4 linked regions of the Neurospora crassa OR74A genome follow. The protein of the gene in region 1 interacts with the protein of each later gene in a pairwise test. Links are inferred from orthologs where the notes say so. Each region holds a gene or a part of one and is shown in the gene's direction. Other genes may lie near its edges.

Region 1 (3,530 bases):
ATAGATCAGATGCCTTAGAACCATGCCCTAAGTGGTTAAGTAGTCTAGATATAGGGAGAAGGGGTAGTCTGTCTATAGCCCGCCTCCGCATTCGGGCCAGTCGGCAGGCTCGTTGGCGTCGTTGGCGCGAGTCTAGGTACTTTGGTAATTTCCTCCCGCACGGGTGCAGCAACTGGTCGATCTGCGCGAGCCGGACCATGGATGAATGACGAGTTACATAGTATGTATGTACAGCTTTATTTGTACCTATATTCGCGCCGGGACACAGCTTTGGAATCTTGACATTTCGCCTTCGTGATCTGAATGTACATCATACTGCGATACGGACAGATGGTAAGCAAAAGATGTCCTGGTCTGTTAGTGTGAAATAAATCTCCAGCAAAGCGGCCTTGAATATTGATAGGCCCTCATGTTGACCCCTTGTCCTTCCTCCCACGGAAGTTTGATTTTCTGTGCTCGTTGGACGGGAGGTACCGCAGCTTTTGTCACATTCAAGCTGCATTCCTTTACTTGACAATCCGTATCAATGATGCAAGATAGCAACAAAAGCCAGAGTAGCAGAGGACAATTTTGGGTACCATTATGTAGTTGTCCATCATGTATATACTTCATCTAGGAGCTTTTCCAACTGAAGCTATTGACATCCCGACATCCAACTTACAAGCGTGGGTAAAATCTACCGGGCGTGCGGGCGTATCATCCTAAGCCGGAACATACATAGTGAATATAAAGCATCTGGAAAAACGCATAGTCCCCGTGTGGGAAACCGCATGTAGTCAGCTGTCAATGAACCTAATTCGTGTGTACGTGGAATGTGCCGGTCTTTGATTATTTTTACTATCCAATGCAATGCTTTGTGTATATTGCAAGCATGAAGACATCTGTAGCTTCGAATGTCCCCAGATCACGCCAACGACGGTCCCCACATCGTCTCTTCGTGACTCAAAATACTACATCTAATCACTGGTGTGCAAATGTCCCATCGTTCCGTTGATGGGAGCTGCGTGGTGCCAAAGGTTAGTACATGGAACGGCACGTGAACGGTCAGGTTCTCTCTCCAGAGCGTTTCTGCGTCTTCCGTGTTGGAGCAAGTCCATCCGTCTCTCCAGGCAGGGCCTGGGCACTGACCACCCAACCCCATTATATTTCAACCCAAGAAGGCTGACGAGCTGAGGGGCCGCGCCAGGATTGCTAGGTGGTCTATGCACGCACTTTACGTGCGCGCAATTGGACTGCGTGCAGCGGGCTCCACAAAATGAAGGCAGAGGCGATTCGTTTGTTGGAAGGACCGACTGCGCCCGCCAACGGGCACTCACGCGGACCTCCGTCTGTACTTTCATCACTAGCCCAAGCAAACTACAGGCAACCTTTCACGGGGAAACCATAAGAACCACGCACTGCAGCCAGTTAATCACACCGCGTGCGTTCCTTCTCTCATTATTGCCAAACCTCCTGCAACTCAGAGCAAGGTCACTTTTACATTTGAGCTTGAATTTGCGCAAACAGGTAACTATATGACAACACCGTCTCCCACTTTTTCCCCCACAATTGAACTATCCCCTCTCTGCATCATTTACACCACCAGCATCAATCACATAGACAGCCAACTCAACCCATCAACATCCATCGACGTATCTTCTAACGTCAAGACTACGACTACAGACATTCAACATGGCGGAGAACGACGAACGTGCCCTCCAGAAGGTATCTCTCCAGAGCAACGATGGCCAAATCATCACCGTCGGTGAGTAGAATCACCCCGCCACCCGGCCTGTCTCCTTTTCTTTCCCTGCGACTGCAGCCGACTAACTGGCGTCAAACACAGATCGTGTTGTTGCCGAGCGATCCCTTCTCATCAAGAACCTGATTGAGGATTTGGGCGACGAGGCTGTTATGAACGAGGCTATTCCCCTACCAAACGTCAACGAGCCTGTCCTCCGAAAGGTTGTCGAGTGGTGCGAGCACCACCGCAAGGACCCGCCCCAGACTACCGAGGACGAGAACGACAGCCGTAAGAAGAGCACGGAGATCGACGAATGGGACCAGAAGTTCATGCAGGTTGACCAGGAGATGCTCTTCGAGATCATTCTCGTAGGTTTCTCCCTCGTTCTACCCGCCGATGCTACTTGATATGCAAACATCACTCGGGTTCTGCAGGGTCAGATCATGCTAACATATTCCTCATCCAGGCTGCCAACTACATGGACATCAAGCCCCTCCTTGATGTTGGATGCAAGACCGTTGCCAACATGATCAAGGGCAAGTCCCCTGAGGAGATTCGAAAGACGTTCAATATCACAAATGATTTCACTCCAGAGGAGGAGGAGCAGATTCGCCGCGAGAACGAATGGGCGGAAGACCGTTAGCCGATCAAGACCAGTTTCCACGTCAAGTCACTTTGCAACGCCGGGATCACCGTCTGCCAACGACAGAGGTTACCCCTGTGCTTCGTCTACCGGAACGCACACTTTAGCCGAGTTTGATGGATATGGGGAGAGCTGTTATGTTGGGAGATGGATATCAAACACATCTCGTGTTATCGACAGCATTTCGACGACGACGTGATACGGTTTGGGCATTCCTGGGAGGGCCACAAACGAAGCTCTTCCACTCAGTACGTTCGATCGTACCTTTGCGTTGGCAGGCGTTTAGAGGCGTTGTTCTCTAGCTTTTTTCTACGGCTCCTTGTTTTCTTAGGCTGAATCGAGGGTTTTCTTATGATGATACAGTTTGTGAATCAGGTCCTTACGTGTCTGAGAACGTCCTCACCGTAAAGGCCGACAACGTCGTCACGATTCTGTTCCGTGTTGTTGCCATGATGGCCCCCTTTACCACCAACATACTCTACATATTGGCACCTCGTATTCGCTTAATACGCCCATCATGTGAACTGTAGTCTAATGATAGCAACAACGACCCTCTGTTTCGTGGCAGCTATTCATGGTTCAAGGCGCGGAGTCACCAGGAAGAAATGGGCCTTAGAGTAGGGGAAAGAAAAGTCAGCCAACATCCACACTACCCTCCATTGTTCCATGCTAGAGCGCTCCCGGTAAAACAGGTAGGTACAGAAACCGCCCTTTTCACTGACAATTTGGCGTTTTGAACTCAACCATGGCCAGGCGCAAGGATGGCATGGAGTTGCCCATGCACACAAACAACATACTAATGGTCCAGATTGCAGAGAGACTAGGAGGGAGCTTACCCAAGTTGTATATCATGGCTCATTTTTACTCGCTTTATACAAGCCAAGGGTACAGAAGTCGTTGATGGAACGTAGGCGGGCTGATTTGGACATTGCCCACGTCTTTTGATCAAGCCCCCTCGGTGTCACAGACCTTGATATAATGCGCACACGACATGGTACATAGACCGATTTTGTAGCACAGTTCCGAGAACATGGGTAGAACAAATATGGGAATCAACTCTCGTGCACCACGTTTTCTCTCATTTCAGATCCTAATTCCCCCAGTAACCGTCCTTCTAAATGTTTGCCGTGAAAGCATAGTACTCCGAAAGTTTACGTTCCCCCA
Region 2 (4,244 bases), on another chromosome or scaffold:
TTTGTCAACAGGCTGCGCAACGCTAATGGCACCATGCCTGCTGTTAAAGAACACCTCTCCCAAGGCGTCTCTCTTTCCAGTGCGTCTATCGACAACGTTGAGGTAGGACTCGAGTATCTCCGCCGCCTCTACCCGCTTCTTCGCCGCCAGTTCTACTGGTTCAAGAAGACACAGTACGGTGACATCAAGTCCTACGATCGCGACGCCTATTCCTCCCGTGAGGCTTATAGGTGGCGCGGCCGCACCCTCACGCACTGCTTGACTAGTGGCTTGGACGACTACCCTCGCCCTCAGCCACCTCACCCTGGTGAGCTCCATGTCGACCTCATGTCGTGGGTTGGCCTAATGGCTAAGTCGCTGGCCAACGCCGCCGAAGTCATTGCGCCCGAGGAGGTTGAGGATTACACAAAGGTTCTCGACGGAATCGAGCACAATCTTGATGACCTGCACTGGTCTGAGAAGGACGGCTGCTACTGCGATGCCACCATTGATGAGTTTGAGGAGCACCAACTCGTGTGCCACAAGGGATACATCTCCCTCTCCCCATTCCTGACTGGCCTGTTGAAGCCCGATAGCCCTAAGCTCGGCAAGATTCTGGCCCTTATTGGTGATGAGGAGGAGCTATGGAGCCCTTATGGCATCCGCAGCTTGAGCAAGAAGGATGAGAACTACGGCACTGCCGAGAATTACTGGAGAAGTCCCATCTGGATCAACATCAACTACCTTATCATTACCCAGCTTCACGTAAGTTGACTGTTCCTTAACCATAAATTGAGCTAAAGCGGCATGCTGACACCCACTAGAACCTTGCAACCCAAGAAGGGCCCTACCAAGAGACGGCCCGCGACATGTATCAAAGACTGCGCAAGAACGTTGTCGAAACCATCTACAACAGCTGGGAGGAAACGGGCTTTGCGTGGGAACAGTACAACCCGGAAACGGGCAAGGGTCAGCGTACACAGCACTTCACCGGCTGGACCAGCTTGGTGGTCAAGATCCTAGCCATGGAGGACCTGCCCGAGGCTGCCCCAGTGGCCCCGGTTGAATCACAGTACGTCAAGGACGAGCTATGATGAAATTGAGCTGTCGTCTAATCAGGCTACATCGCTAGAAACGACATACCGAAGTTGTAAATAGAGGCGATGACAAGGTCTGACATGACTTTAAGAAATATCACTGTATCGATGGACATGACCGCTTAACTACGTGCCATTGTCGGTTGTTCTTTGTTTGGATATTGTCTTGTTCAGACTTGTGCGTGTGTAGGTAGTCAGGGGGTGGCGCAGTTTGGTGTTTGCCACATACAACCCTAACCCGGGACCCTTACTCTGCTGTAAAAGGGTGCTATATTTGGCCCAATGTAGCTCTTTGCTCCGGAGCCCCGCGAGGCAACCCCTGACTCTGAAGTTACAGTTACGTGATAAGCCCAGGTGCGGGCATCAACATGGGACCACGGCCTTTCGTCGTATCGATCCAACCTGCCCTGGACTGCTGCTTTCCATTCCGCCTTTCTGTTGACAACTACGGAGCTGGCATGCTGTTCAATGCTGTCCAATCGACCGATCACGAATCCTCGTATCGGTAGTATTGCATCTCACGACGGCGGGGCGGCCTACAACGAGGGCAACGATTTTTCCAACATCTTTCTGCCCGGCAGCAGCATGAATCTACGATACGTCCCGCCTTGAACTACCTCTACTACCTACATACACCATCCGTTCACGACACCACCGCCTCGAACATCAGCAACAGCAATACCAACATCGGACTACAGTTAGCTAGCTACTACAATACAACAACGATATTCACGGACCGAGACACCATCACAACACCATGTCCAACTTCAAAAGGGCCTCCATGGCTGGTGCCGGGCCAAAGTCCACATCTTCGTCAGCGATGATGGCAGGAGGCGGCCACAGCAAGAACGGCAGCATCTTGAACGCCCTCCGAGCGACCACAATGATTGATACCAAGCCAGTATTACCAGCCGGTATGCCACCTATCCTCTGCTACCCCCAAAGCACTCTTTTTTTTTTTCCAATACCAGCTAACAAATACGTCGATACTCGTAGAAATCCTCGTCACGATCCTCGATTACCTCCCCGTCTCCGACCTCCTCCGCTTCGCCCGCACCTCCCGCCGCATGCGCGAGATGGTCTACGACGACACCCGCTGGGTTGCCCGCCTGCGCTCTATGGGGGTGTGGGACGAAGCGGAAGCGCGGCGGCGGTTCGAGGAAGTAATGAAGCGACGGCGCGAAGCCGCCGAACGGGCGGAGCGGGAACGACTCGCTGCCGCTGCTGCAGCAACGGGCACAACAGGAGGATCAATGCCAATAGGGAGAGGACAGCCGTTTCCTGGACAATCACTGGAGCTGTTTCCTGGATTGCAACAACAGTACCCAACGCCGCCGCCGGTGATAACGACGACCCTGTTCGATGCAGGCGAGGAGGAGCTGAGGAGGAAGAGGATCGCGGAAGAGCAGAAAAAAAGGGAGGAGGCGATTCAGGCGGCGGCGCAGAGAAGGGCGATGGAGGAGATGGAAGGGTTGCAGGATGGGTTTGAGACGATGAAAGTGGGCGGAGGACAAGGGGGACTGCTACCGACGGCGCCGCAAAAAGACCCCTTTTCGGACCCCGAAGCGTTATTGAACGTGATCAAAAACGCCCGTTCCATCCGCGGCCACGCCCGACAAGAGTATGGCAAGATTTACGGCGCGCTAGCACCGTTCTACTTTGACCTGGCCAAAGCGAAATCGCACACCGACCCGGTCGTCTTTCGCGTGTTTCGGGATCCGGAGCGGCAAGCACAGATGTTGGCCAACCTGCGGACGTTTGCCAAGTCCGACTGGGCCGCTGGCTGGCGGCAGCGCGAGGAGAAGCTGGCGACCATGGCGGGCATCTTCGAGAGCGCGGTGCTGCACGAGTTTGAGACGGGTTACGAGTTTTGGGACGTCGATGGGAGGATGCACAAGTATGCGCACGTATTGGATCTGCTGAACGGCGGGACGGCGGCGGTGGAGCTGTTTATCCATAAACATCCGATCTTCACGGATAAGGAGGTATTGGCGAACCCAATGGATTGCGTCAATCAGGCGCTGGCAGACGATGTTACGCTAGAGCCGTCGAGGCGGTTCTTTGAGGTGTTGACGGCCAAGGTCAATGAGCAGGCGGATATCATCCAGCGAGTGTTTCCGAAGCCGGCCGAGGTGTTTTGGTTATTGATGGGGAAAATCAGGGATGATATCTTGACGGATTACGTGACGCCGTTGTTTGACGAGACGCACGAGAGGAGCCTGGCGGCGTATGTGAAGGCCGTTTCTGGTCTGTTTGAGCAGACGTTGCAGTTCTTTAGGACGGTAAATGCACCGAAGAACGAGAAGAACGCGAAGGAGCAGGAGGAGCTGGCAAAGGAATATGCGCTCAAAGTGTTTGAGCAGCATTTAGATCTTTATCTGGCGGATGAGTTGGATTACTTTACCCAGCAGGCGGAGGCGGAGGTGGGAGAGTGGGAGAAGAAGCTGTCGGAGCAGGATGCTACTGCGGAATCGTTCTACATGGGCAGCTTCACCAACAGGCAGGCGGATAAGAAGGACTTCTTGACGTCGTTCAAAAAAGTGGTCATGATGCCCGTGTCGGCTCTGCCAAGTTTGCCGTTAGGGTCGCCGTTTGCTTCAAAGCCTGCCACAACCCCTACGACAGCCACGACAGCAGCAGCGAACGGCGGCGAGCTACAAGCGCCGGAAAACCCTGAGCAGTCTCATCCAGTCTCTCCTAGTCTGGCGGCGCCAGTAACTGTTGATCGTACAGGAAGTCCCTTGCCGGACAAGGCCCCCACGGATGAACTAGCAGCAAAGGCTGCGCTAATGACGTCCAGACTAGAGGGAATCAAGTCCCTCTTCAGCATCGAAATTGCCCTCAGTCTCGTCCACATGGCCAAATCCAGTCTCGGCCGCGCCGCTGTCTTCATTCAACTCGGCGGACAAGCTGGCGGCGAAGCTCGCGAGCAATGCGAGGCCATATTCGTCGCTTTGCTCCGCATTCTCGGCAGCCGTCACATTAAGCCCGGTTTCGACAAGGCAGTCGCCCATCTTTCGCAATACAATCCGCGCGAGGTCTCCCATCATGACAAGGGCGGGGTGGCGCCTCTGGTGACCTTCATCGAACTCGTCAACGTCGGAGACCTGATCTCGCAGATGATCGACGTCTTCTACGAGCAACAGCTCACCACACCCAAGATCGCGG
Region 3 (3,355 bases), on another chromosome or scaffold:
ATATGTGGGCAAGTAGGTTGGTTACCTTGATGACGGGCTCTTGACCCTTAATACCAGCCGTAAGAGACTGCTTCTTTATCTCAACCACCATATCTTTGCCCTTTAGGTTACCAGGGACGAGGATGGTGATGTCGACGTCGCCAATCGTCTGAGTCCACTTGTAGGGGAGAGCCTCCTGCTCGGCTTGTTCCTTGGCGCGGGCAGCGGCCTCCTCGGCGGGGGTGAGCTCTGTTACGTCTGACATTGTTTGGTCAGTTGACTAGTGGGACCTGTTGATGGCGGATGGACTTTCTGGTCTTGGGAGCAAGAGGAGTTGAGCTCTAAAACGCACCTTTGTCAGCCATGTTGAAGGTGGTATTGTTGAATTCGGTGTAGATATTGGGCAACGACGGCAGCTTGGTGCAGTGGTGCAGTGGTGCAATGTGCGGTAATGTAAGTAGAAGACGATGGAACGCGCCTGAACGCGATGACCGAATTTCTGGAGGGGCAGGTAACCCGCATGGAACGGCTGCGGCCGCCCAATCCCAATCCTAGGAGCTGCCCGCGAGCGGCTGCTGTCACTGCCCTGGTAGCCCCTGCTCACCCCACGCTTGCCCGCGTCCAGTCCCCTGAGACAGAGCTGCCAGATGAGCGCGGCAGAGTGCCGTGCTGTGAATGATCTGGGAAGCCCCACCCTGCACCGCCAGGGTAGCGTCCATTGGAGCGCTGGCGCGGTTGGGGGCCAAGTGGAAACAAGGATTATTCAGCCCAAGCATAATAACTCTTATCAGTCCCTCTTTCACCACATCGTCAATCTCACTCGGGTTTCACCCAGACTTCCACTTGGTTGATTTTCATCACCTTCCCTATCCACCGTTGATACATGACTGCGTGACCCGGAATTTCTGCCTAGCCGAGCTGGCATTTTAGAACAACATTTCATCACCTAACAAGACGAGTACAAGTCCTCGTCGCCAAATCACGATCACCAAACAGATATAAAAGAAGATTTGGGCCGCGATCGCCACTCACTCACCGACACATCAAGAGACGTCCCGAGTTCTCAGATACGGACTACTGTCCCTTCGAAGGGAAACGCCCACTCCTCGCTATAATTCAGCATACATTTCTCTTGGCCATCATTTAACCTTTGGAAATCCCACTTCAGCACATCGATCCCCGTCTCCTCGAAGCGAAATTATCAAAACAACCCCCCCCCCCCCCCCCCCCCCCCCAAAAAAAAAAGAAACCACCCACCATGGCGCGCCCTCTCGACCCCCTCGGCTTCGAAGACGAAATGTGCCCCGTCTGCAAATCGCGCAAGTACCTCAACCCCGACATCGTCTTCGTCTTCAACCCCGAATGCTACCACTCCATGTGTCTCAACTGTGCCAACCGACTCTTCAACGACGGACCCAATCAATGTCCGCACGCCGGCTGCAACAAAACGCTCCGTCGCAAGGGCTTCCGCTCGGCTTTTTTCGGCGACTTGGCCGTCGAGCGCGAGGTCGACATCCGCCGTCGCGTGGCGGCGGTGTTCAACCAAGTCGAGGACGACTTTGAGACGCTCCAGGATTATAATAATTACTTGCAGATGGTGGAAGATTTGACGTTTGAACTTGTCAATGGGACGGATGAGAGGAGACGGCAGGCGGAGGCGCAATTGCAGGCATGGGAGGCGGAGCATAGGGCGGATATTGAACGGAATAAGAAGGCGGGGAGGGAGGCGGATGAGATTTCAAGAGTGAGGCTGGCAGCCGAAAGGGATGCTGTCAGGCAGAGGAGGATTGAGGCTATCAAGGAGGCGGAGGCGGAGAAAAGAGAGAGGGTGAGGAGTCGCGAAATGGAGCTGGATAACCTGGCCAAGGGAACCACTGCTATGACAGCGGAGCCGGCGACGAAGGTACAGCTAAAGAGGCGTGGGCAGGTGAATCGGGTTGCTGAAACAGCTTCCAACCCTGCCATCGCAACAACGGGAATGGGCACGGGCGCGTCGGAGGTTGAGCGTTTGTCCATCCGCGGCTTGAAGGAGAAGCCGAAGGCGCCGGCGCCACAGGGCCCGTACGACCCCTTTGGAGGCATGGACTTCGCGCCTAGTCGGTACAAGCTACATGGAGGCTTGAGTCACCCGCTTATGGAGAAGTACCGGTTGGACAGACAGCACGTTGCTGGTGGGTACAGCTTTGACGACTTTGCGGCGCGCGCCTTGTATGAAGCGTTTGCTGGGTTGGGTGTGTTTGTTGAGGATGAGAAGGAGGTCGGCAGTGGTATTGGGCTGTCACAAGAGACGAGCATGGCGGCGGGGATCGCCGCTGTGGTTGACGCGGATAAGATGGATTTGGACTGAGAGTGGTTCTGGACCGGTATGCCCCGGCCTTTTGGTTGGCGGTAATGGTGTTTTTGTTGCATAGCGACGGCGTTCACTCAGCGATTGAATATTTTTCTTTTTCCTCTCCGACGGATCTGGATTTAGGAACACACATGAGGCGGGACCAGCATCATATAGATCAACTTCAGACTCGGTGGTTTTAGAGGGCGCAAATATTCGGGTCTGCTGTGGATTTCTGGGTTCGAAATTCATTATGCGAATGGTCGCAGTCCAGCAGCCACATAAGACAGAACTTGGCGAACTGCAGTACATTCACTACTCTTTGCCACCCATCAAGCCATCTGTCTACTTGTAAGGAGTATCAAGGTCACTGAAGACCACGTTTTGTGTGAGGGATTGGGACGACGATGATGATGGAGAAAAGAAGAAGAAAAAGAAATTCAGACTAATAAGAGTGCGTCGATTGATCACAAAAATGCCCAAAAAAATATATAGATTAAGATTTACCAAACAAAAAGAGCCTCCAGGCTTCCCTACTGCAAAAATGTGTATGCCTCCCTTGCTGGCCATTCCTGGAGAGAGTGTTGGCAGCCAATCCTGAAAGTTTTGATGGTATGACCATTTATCATACCATACCTCTTTCACTCCTTTATCTCGAGATGCCCGGACCCCATTCCACCGTTTTTATGTAGCGTTCCATTCCAACTATTCTTCCCCCCTCCCCCTTGCGCTGCGCTGCTAAGCCTTGTATCTGGCCCTGCTCGTTAAGAAGCACTCGACGGCGGAAAAAAAAGCCTGATCTCTTCACAGTCAATCCTTGACTGCCTTATTGCCACCCATTTCGAAGGTACGAGCATCAAACCGCCCTGCTTACCCGAACATTGGCTGTCCTTTCGGTAGACTAAGGAGGGGCACCGTCAGAAGACTCGCGGCAACAATACCGAAAGATCAGGATTGCCGAATCGAATAACGAAGGCGGGTGAGAAAAAAGAGCTGAGCTCAAAAAATACAAAATAAAAGAAAATAAAACAAAAAGCAAAAGGAACG
Region 4 (4,009 bases), about 750 kb from region 1:
TGGTGGTCAAGGTATCTTGTCCCAAAACGTGTGCCATCATATCCAAGACAAGCGTGGTGTGTAGCTGATATAGAATGATGTCTTTGGTGTAGCTCGACGTGCGTTTATCGAGACATTGCGACGAGAAAACACAGCACCAGAATTGTTTGCATCACGGAGGGAGAGATTTAGAGTACATTGATACAAGGTCTGAACTTACAGTGCTTATCAGGCATGGCTAGATATTATCCCTGGAGCTCCGTCAGCCTGTTTCGACATCCACAAGCCGACATGGGCTTAGGCCTTTTAAAACCCCTCGAATGTCTGGAAAGCTTCCATCATGATGAAAACGGAAGCCAGACTTGGTCACCCCGCAAAATTCCCCAGGAAAGCAACCTTGTCGTGGGTCAACATGATGGAAAGAGGCAGAAGATGCTATTCCGAGAACACCGAGGTCGAGATTGAAGCCAGAATGGAAATGTCCGTGCCGCTGACCACGGCCCGGACTGTCTCACGATGTTTATCGGGTGGATATCACGACATGGTGCCTGGATGGGATGTTGACATGCACGGGGGAGACGGGAAGGACGGGATATGTAGATAGCGTCCATTCAAGTTGGGTTAAATGGAGACGACGCTCCACATCAAGCTGTCGTCAACAGTGCGATTGGGATTGTGTGGTCTCTGGGGACTGTGGCCGCAGTGACGTTGATGTCCGTCTTCGGAGTCCTTCCTGTCGACGACATGAAGCCGCTCCAAGGTCAGTCAAGCTGAGACGGTCGAGTGATTCAAGACGACGACGGGAGGCATGCTGTGGTCAGGTTGACAGAGGAAAAGAGAGAAAGTTGATAAAATTCAAAGTCGCCATATTAGAAATCCATGCACTTGGTGGCGAAACAACAGTCTGCTTATTTTGTTTTAATAATCGTGAGACATGTGTCGTGGTGTTGATGCTGAACCTCCAATTAGGGACCTGGCTATGGCACGTGACTGGCACTGGCATCATTGAATTGAGCTACGGAGTCTTGACTGTTAGATACTTGCTGTACTGCTTTGCATAGAGTATAACAGCCAGTACATCCCCGCATTTTACAGTGGGCCCGGTGATGTCGCAATTCTGGCGACAAAGCAACAAAGCGAAAAAAACGAGGATGGGTGACTCCACTCTGTACCTGGGAGCTTCCCGCGCCCCACCCCAGTTGATTTCGCCATTTTGCCCTTCTCTTTGCGATCAAGAGCGACGGCCAATCTTGTCTCTTTCCGTCTGCAACATTTCACAGTCACACACACACAGAGAGAAGGAGCAACGAAGTCAAGACACATCCGATTTCAGGCGGTGTGAAGCAACAGCTGAGGTTCAACACCCCGTTGCGATACTGCCCGAGACTTCCACTTTGCCATTTTGGAAAGAGTGCTCTCTCTAAGGTAGTATACCTCATCCATTCCATCCGTCACCGACAGGCGACAGCCGTTCCAGAGCTGTCACTTACCTGGTATTCGGTTACATACCTACCTCTACGCTACTGTACAAAGAGGGAGCACGGGCACTCGTACCCGACACCTACAGTAGCTTCCTTCAAAGAGCAAGAGAGCAGTCACATACCTACTAGCTGCCCAGACTGAAAGGAAGAGACAGCAAGGCACCGAAAGCCGGAGAGACTAGAAGTTTGAGACATTCCACTTGGACAACAGAAGTGGAACAAGTGAACCTGGAAATAGGTCAGCAGCGGTCATCATCATCACAGTACGTAAACCACCAAAAAAGACCCTTTAAACACTTTGACTCGGATCGATGGCGACCAAGGTGCTGTGCATTGCGTGAGGTGCCACCTTGTCCCGTCCACATCCTCGCTGCTCCCGTCCTAGGTCATCCTCCAACAGACATCGATTCCTCCTTAACGTGATTGCCCTCCAAACTGCAGCTATACTGCGCTGCACCAGATAAGAGTGCACTAACACTTACACCGCACCAATAACAACAGGTCCAACAACGTGCCCACCTCCACGGCAGGGAATCAATCCTTCAACGGTCCCTCTTTCATCTCAGCTGAGCTCTTCCTGATCGCCTCCAGTCCTCCTCCCTCCCCGGGGCTCCATCTCCAATCCTCCGCCAACAACATCCAGATCCCATCACGTGTCCATCCATCCAGAAACATCAAGATCGCCAGTTGGGCTGCCCGGCATCACATCGCTGCTGTTTGTTGTCTGCGGGACCCTGCCTTCCTTCTGCTCCTCCTCCAGCTTCATCTAGACCTGCCCAACGGTGGAGCGAGTCTGGATTCCGCATTAACGAGATTGGACCTTTGAGACGGTAGACCGCCCAAACATCGACCACACCAGGGCATCCATCCATACACCTCACATCAACCAGCCCGATCACGCAAGACCACATACCCTTTCCCGCCCCAGCCTGACCGACGGGAGTACCTACTACTAGTACATACCTTGGACTGGACAGGACTGGACAGGCAGGACAGTAGTGTACAGGACAGCACTGCGATACATACAGCAGCAATCTGCGTCCCCTGGTCAGCACGCCATCCATCGCCCTCTAGCCGACCAATGCTTGGTGTTGCCTCTTCCGCCATTCAACAACAGAACCACGCAACCGCAAACGCACTCTAAATTCCCCCTCAGAACGCACAATCGCAGCGTCATTCTGGGCCCGGCGGTCCTCGACTCCCCCTTCTCCCAATGGATTCCTACCACCTCGCCCCGTCTCGTCCGACTGCGAGCTTCGGACATGATAATGACGCCCCGCTCCAACATGGGCCTCTAGTGAACTCCTACTCTCATCACCATAACAACCACTCGCGCGACACCGACTCCGATCCCACCGACCAAAACTGCGACCGCAAACGACCCGAGCAACAGGCAAGGTTGCGCTCCCGCAACAGCGTCACCAACATGTCGTCCGTCCTCATGAGCAAGACTGTCACGCCTTTCCTTCGGGAACACATTCCCAGCATCTACGCCCCCATCGGCAAGCCGGGGAACCAAGAGACGGCCAGAGCAGAGAACCCCAATTCCAAGTACTGCTATAGACACCACCCCGACTCAAAGTGCCGAAGGGCTGCCGACAAGGCCAAGATGGTCATGATTCAGAGCGAGCTAGACAAGCTCACATCAGCGGTGGGTCTTCATACAAAACATAAACATTGATTGCTTCTTGTCTCCAAGGTTTGGTGGACTGACTGGTACCTTGCTTGAAATAATAGGATCAGCAAGCTGTGACCCACGTGTGGTCCCTGTTCTCGGCCGCCCCTGCCCGACATCGCGACCTGATGCTTCAGGGTATCCTCTCCCAGCTCTGCTTCCCCCAGCTCTCCTTCGTCTCGAGAGAAGTCAACGAAGCCCTCAAGATCGACTTCATCTCCGCCCTCCCCGTCGAGCTCGCCCAAAAGGTCTTATGCTATCTCGACACCGTCAGCTTGACCAAGGCCGCCCAGGTCAGCCAGAGGTGGCGAACCCTGGCCGACTCGGATGCCGTCTGGGTCCGCATGTGCGAGCAACACGTCAACAGGAAGTGCACAAAGTGTGGATGGGGATTGCCCTTGCTGGAACGCAAGAAGCTGCGCAACTACACCAGACAAAGACAGCTGGCCAAGGGTGGGCCACAAGGGAGGGTCACAGAACTGGCCGACTCCCACGACAGCCAGGATCGATCCGTCAATCAACATGGAAAGCGCCCGGCAGCAGAGGCGGAGGAAGAGGACCCCATCAAGAAGCGCCAGTGTATGGCTGCAGCAGAAGCCTCCAAGGCGGTAACGCAACCCAAGACCCGAAGCTGGAAGGCCGTCTACCGGGATCGCTGGCAGGTCAGCTACAACTGGAAAAACAGCCGATACAAGTTGTCGGTTCTCAAGGGTCATGAGAATGGTGTCACATGTCTCCAGCTCGATGATAACATCCTTGCGACTGGATCGTACGACACCACTATCAAGATCTGTATGTGGTCTTGCTTCTTTAAACATTGGTGCTCGCTTTAAACTAACACATTGCTGACAGGGAACATTGAGACTGAGGAGTG

Evidence for each region.
Region 2: the proteins of scon-3 (region 1) and NCU03658 interact in binary tests that used the Schizosaccharomyces pombe proteins (3 or more experiments, as listed by UniProt). The link is inferred for Neurospora crassa OR74A from reciprocal best matches to the Schizosaccharomyces pombe genes skp1 and pof6.
Region 3: the proteins of scon-3 (region 1) and NCU02587 interact in binary tests that used the Schizosaccharomyces pombe proteins (3 or more experiments, as listed by UniProt). The link is inferred for Neurospora crassa OR74A from reciprocal best matches to the Schizosaccharomyces pombe genes skp1 and pmh1.
Region 4: the proteins of scon-3 (region 1) and scon-2 interact in a two-hybrid assay, tested with the Schizosaccharomyces pombe proteins (2 studies listed by BioGRID). The link is inferred for Neurospora crassa OR74A from reciprocal best matches to the Schizosaccharomyces pombe genes skp1 and pof1.

Annotation. Positions count from the first base shown.
Region 1 is NC_026503.1:4,148,629-4,152,158, reverse strand, and holds scon-3 (sulfur control-3 protein), read left to right. Parts: upstream 1-1,299; 5' UTR 1,300-1,506; exon of another isoform or gene 1,507-1,662; 5' UTR 1,663-1,671; coding exon 1,672-1,744; intron 1,745-1,825; coding exon 1,826-2,091; intron 2,092-2,189; coding exon 2,190-2,366; 3' UTR 2,367-3,028; downstream 3,029-3,530. UniProt on the Schizosaccharomyces pombe protein: Required for cig2 degradation in the G2 and M phases of the cell cycle. Together with pof6, essential for septum processing and cell separation.
Region 2 is NC_026505.1:1,994,284-1,998,527, forward strand, and holds the start of NCU03658 (secretion pathway protein Sls2/Rcy1), read left to right. Parts: upstream 1-1,437; 5' UTR 1,438-1,833; coding exon 1,834-1,990; intron 1,991-2,072; coding exon 2,073-4,244. Other genes in the region: gh63-1 (mannosyl-oligosaccharide glucosidase, variant), read left to right, coding at 1-744, 804-1,073. UniProt on the Schizosaccharomyces pombe protein: Together with skp1, essential for septum processing and cell separation.
Region 3 is NC_026501.1:2,825,187-2,828,541, reverse strand, and holds NCU02587 (RNA polymerase II transcription factor B subunit 3), read left to right. Parts: upstream 1-1,237; coding exon 1,238-2,326; 3' UTR 2,327-2,848; downstream 2,849-3,355. Other genes in the region: NCU02588 (nuclear movement protein nudC, variant 1), read right to left, coding at 26-237, 332-344. UniProt on the Schizosaccharomyces pombe protein: Acts as a component of the general transcription and DNA repair factor IIH (TFIIH or factor B), which is essential for both basal and activated transcription, and is involved in nucleotide excision repair (NER) of damaged DNA.
Region 4 is NC_026503.1:4,897,052-4,901,060, forward strand, and holds the start of scon-2 (sulfur controller-2 protein), read left to right. Parts: upstream 1-1,202; 5' UTR 1,203-1,723; intron 1,724-1,961; 5' UTR 1,962-2,673; coding exon 2,674-3,111; intron 3,112-3,197; coding exon 3,198-3,927; intron 3,928-3,987; coding exon 3,988-4,009. UniProt on the Schizosaccharomyces pombe protein: Probably recognizes and binds to some phosphorylated proteins and promotes their ubiquitination and degradation. Required for the inactivation of zip1 via ubiquitination.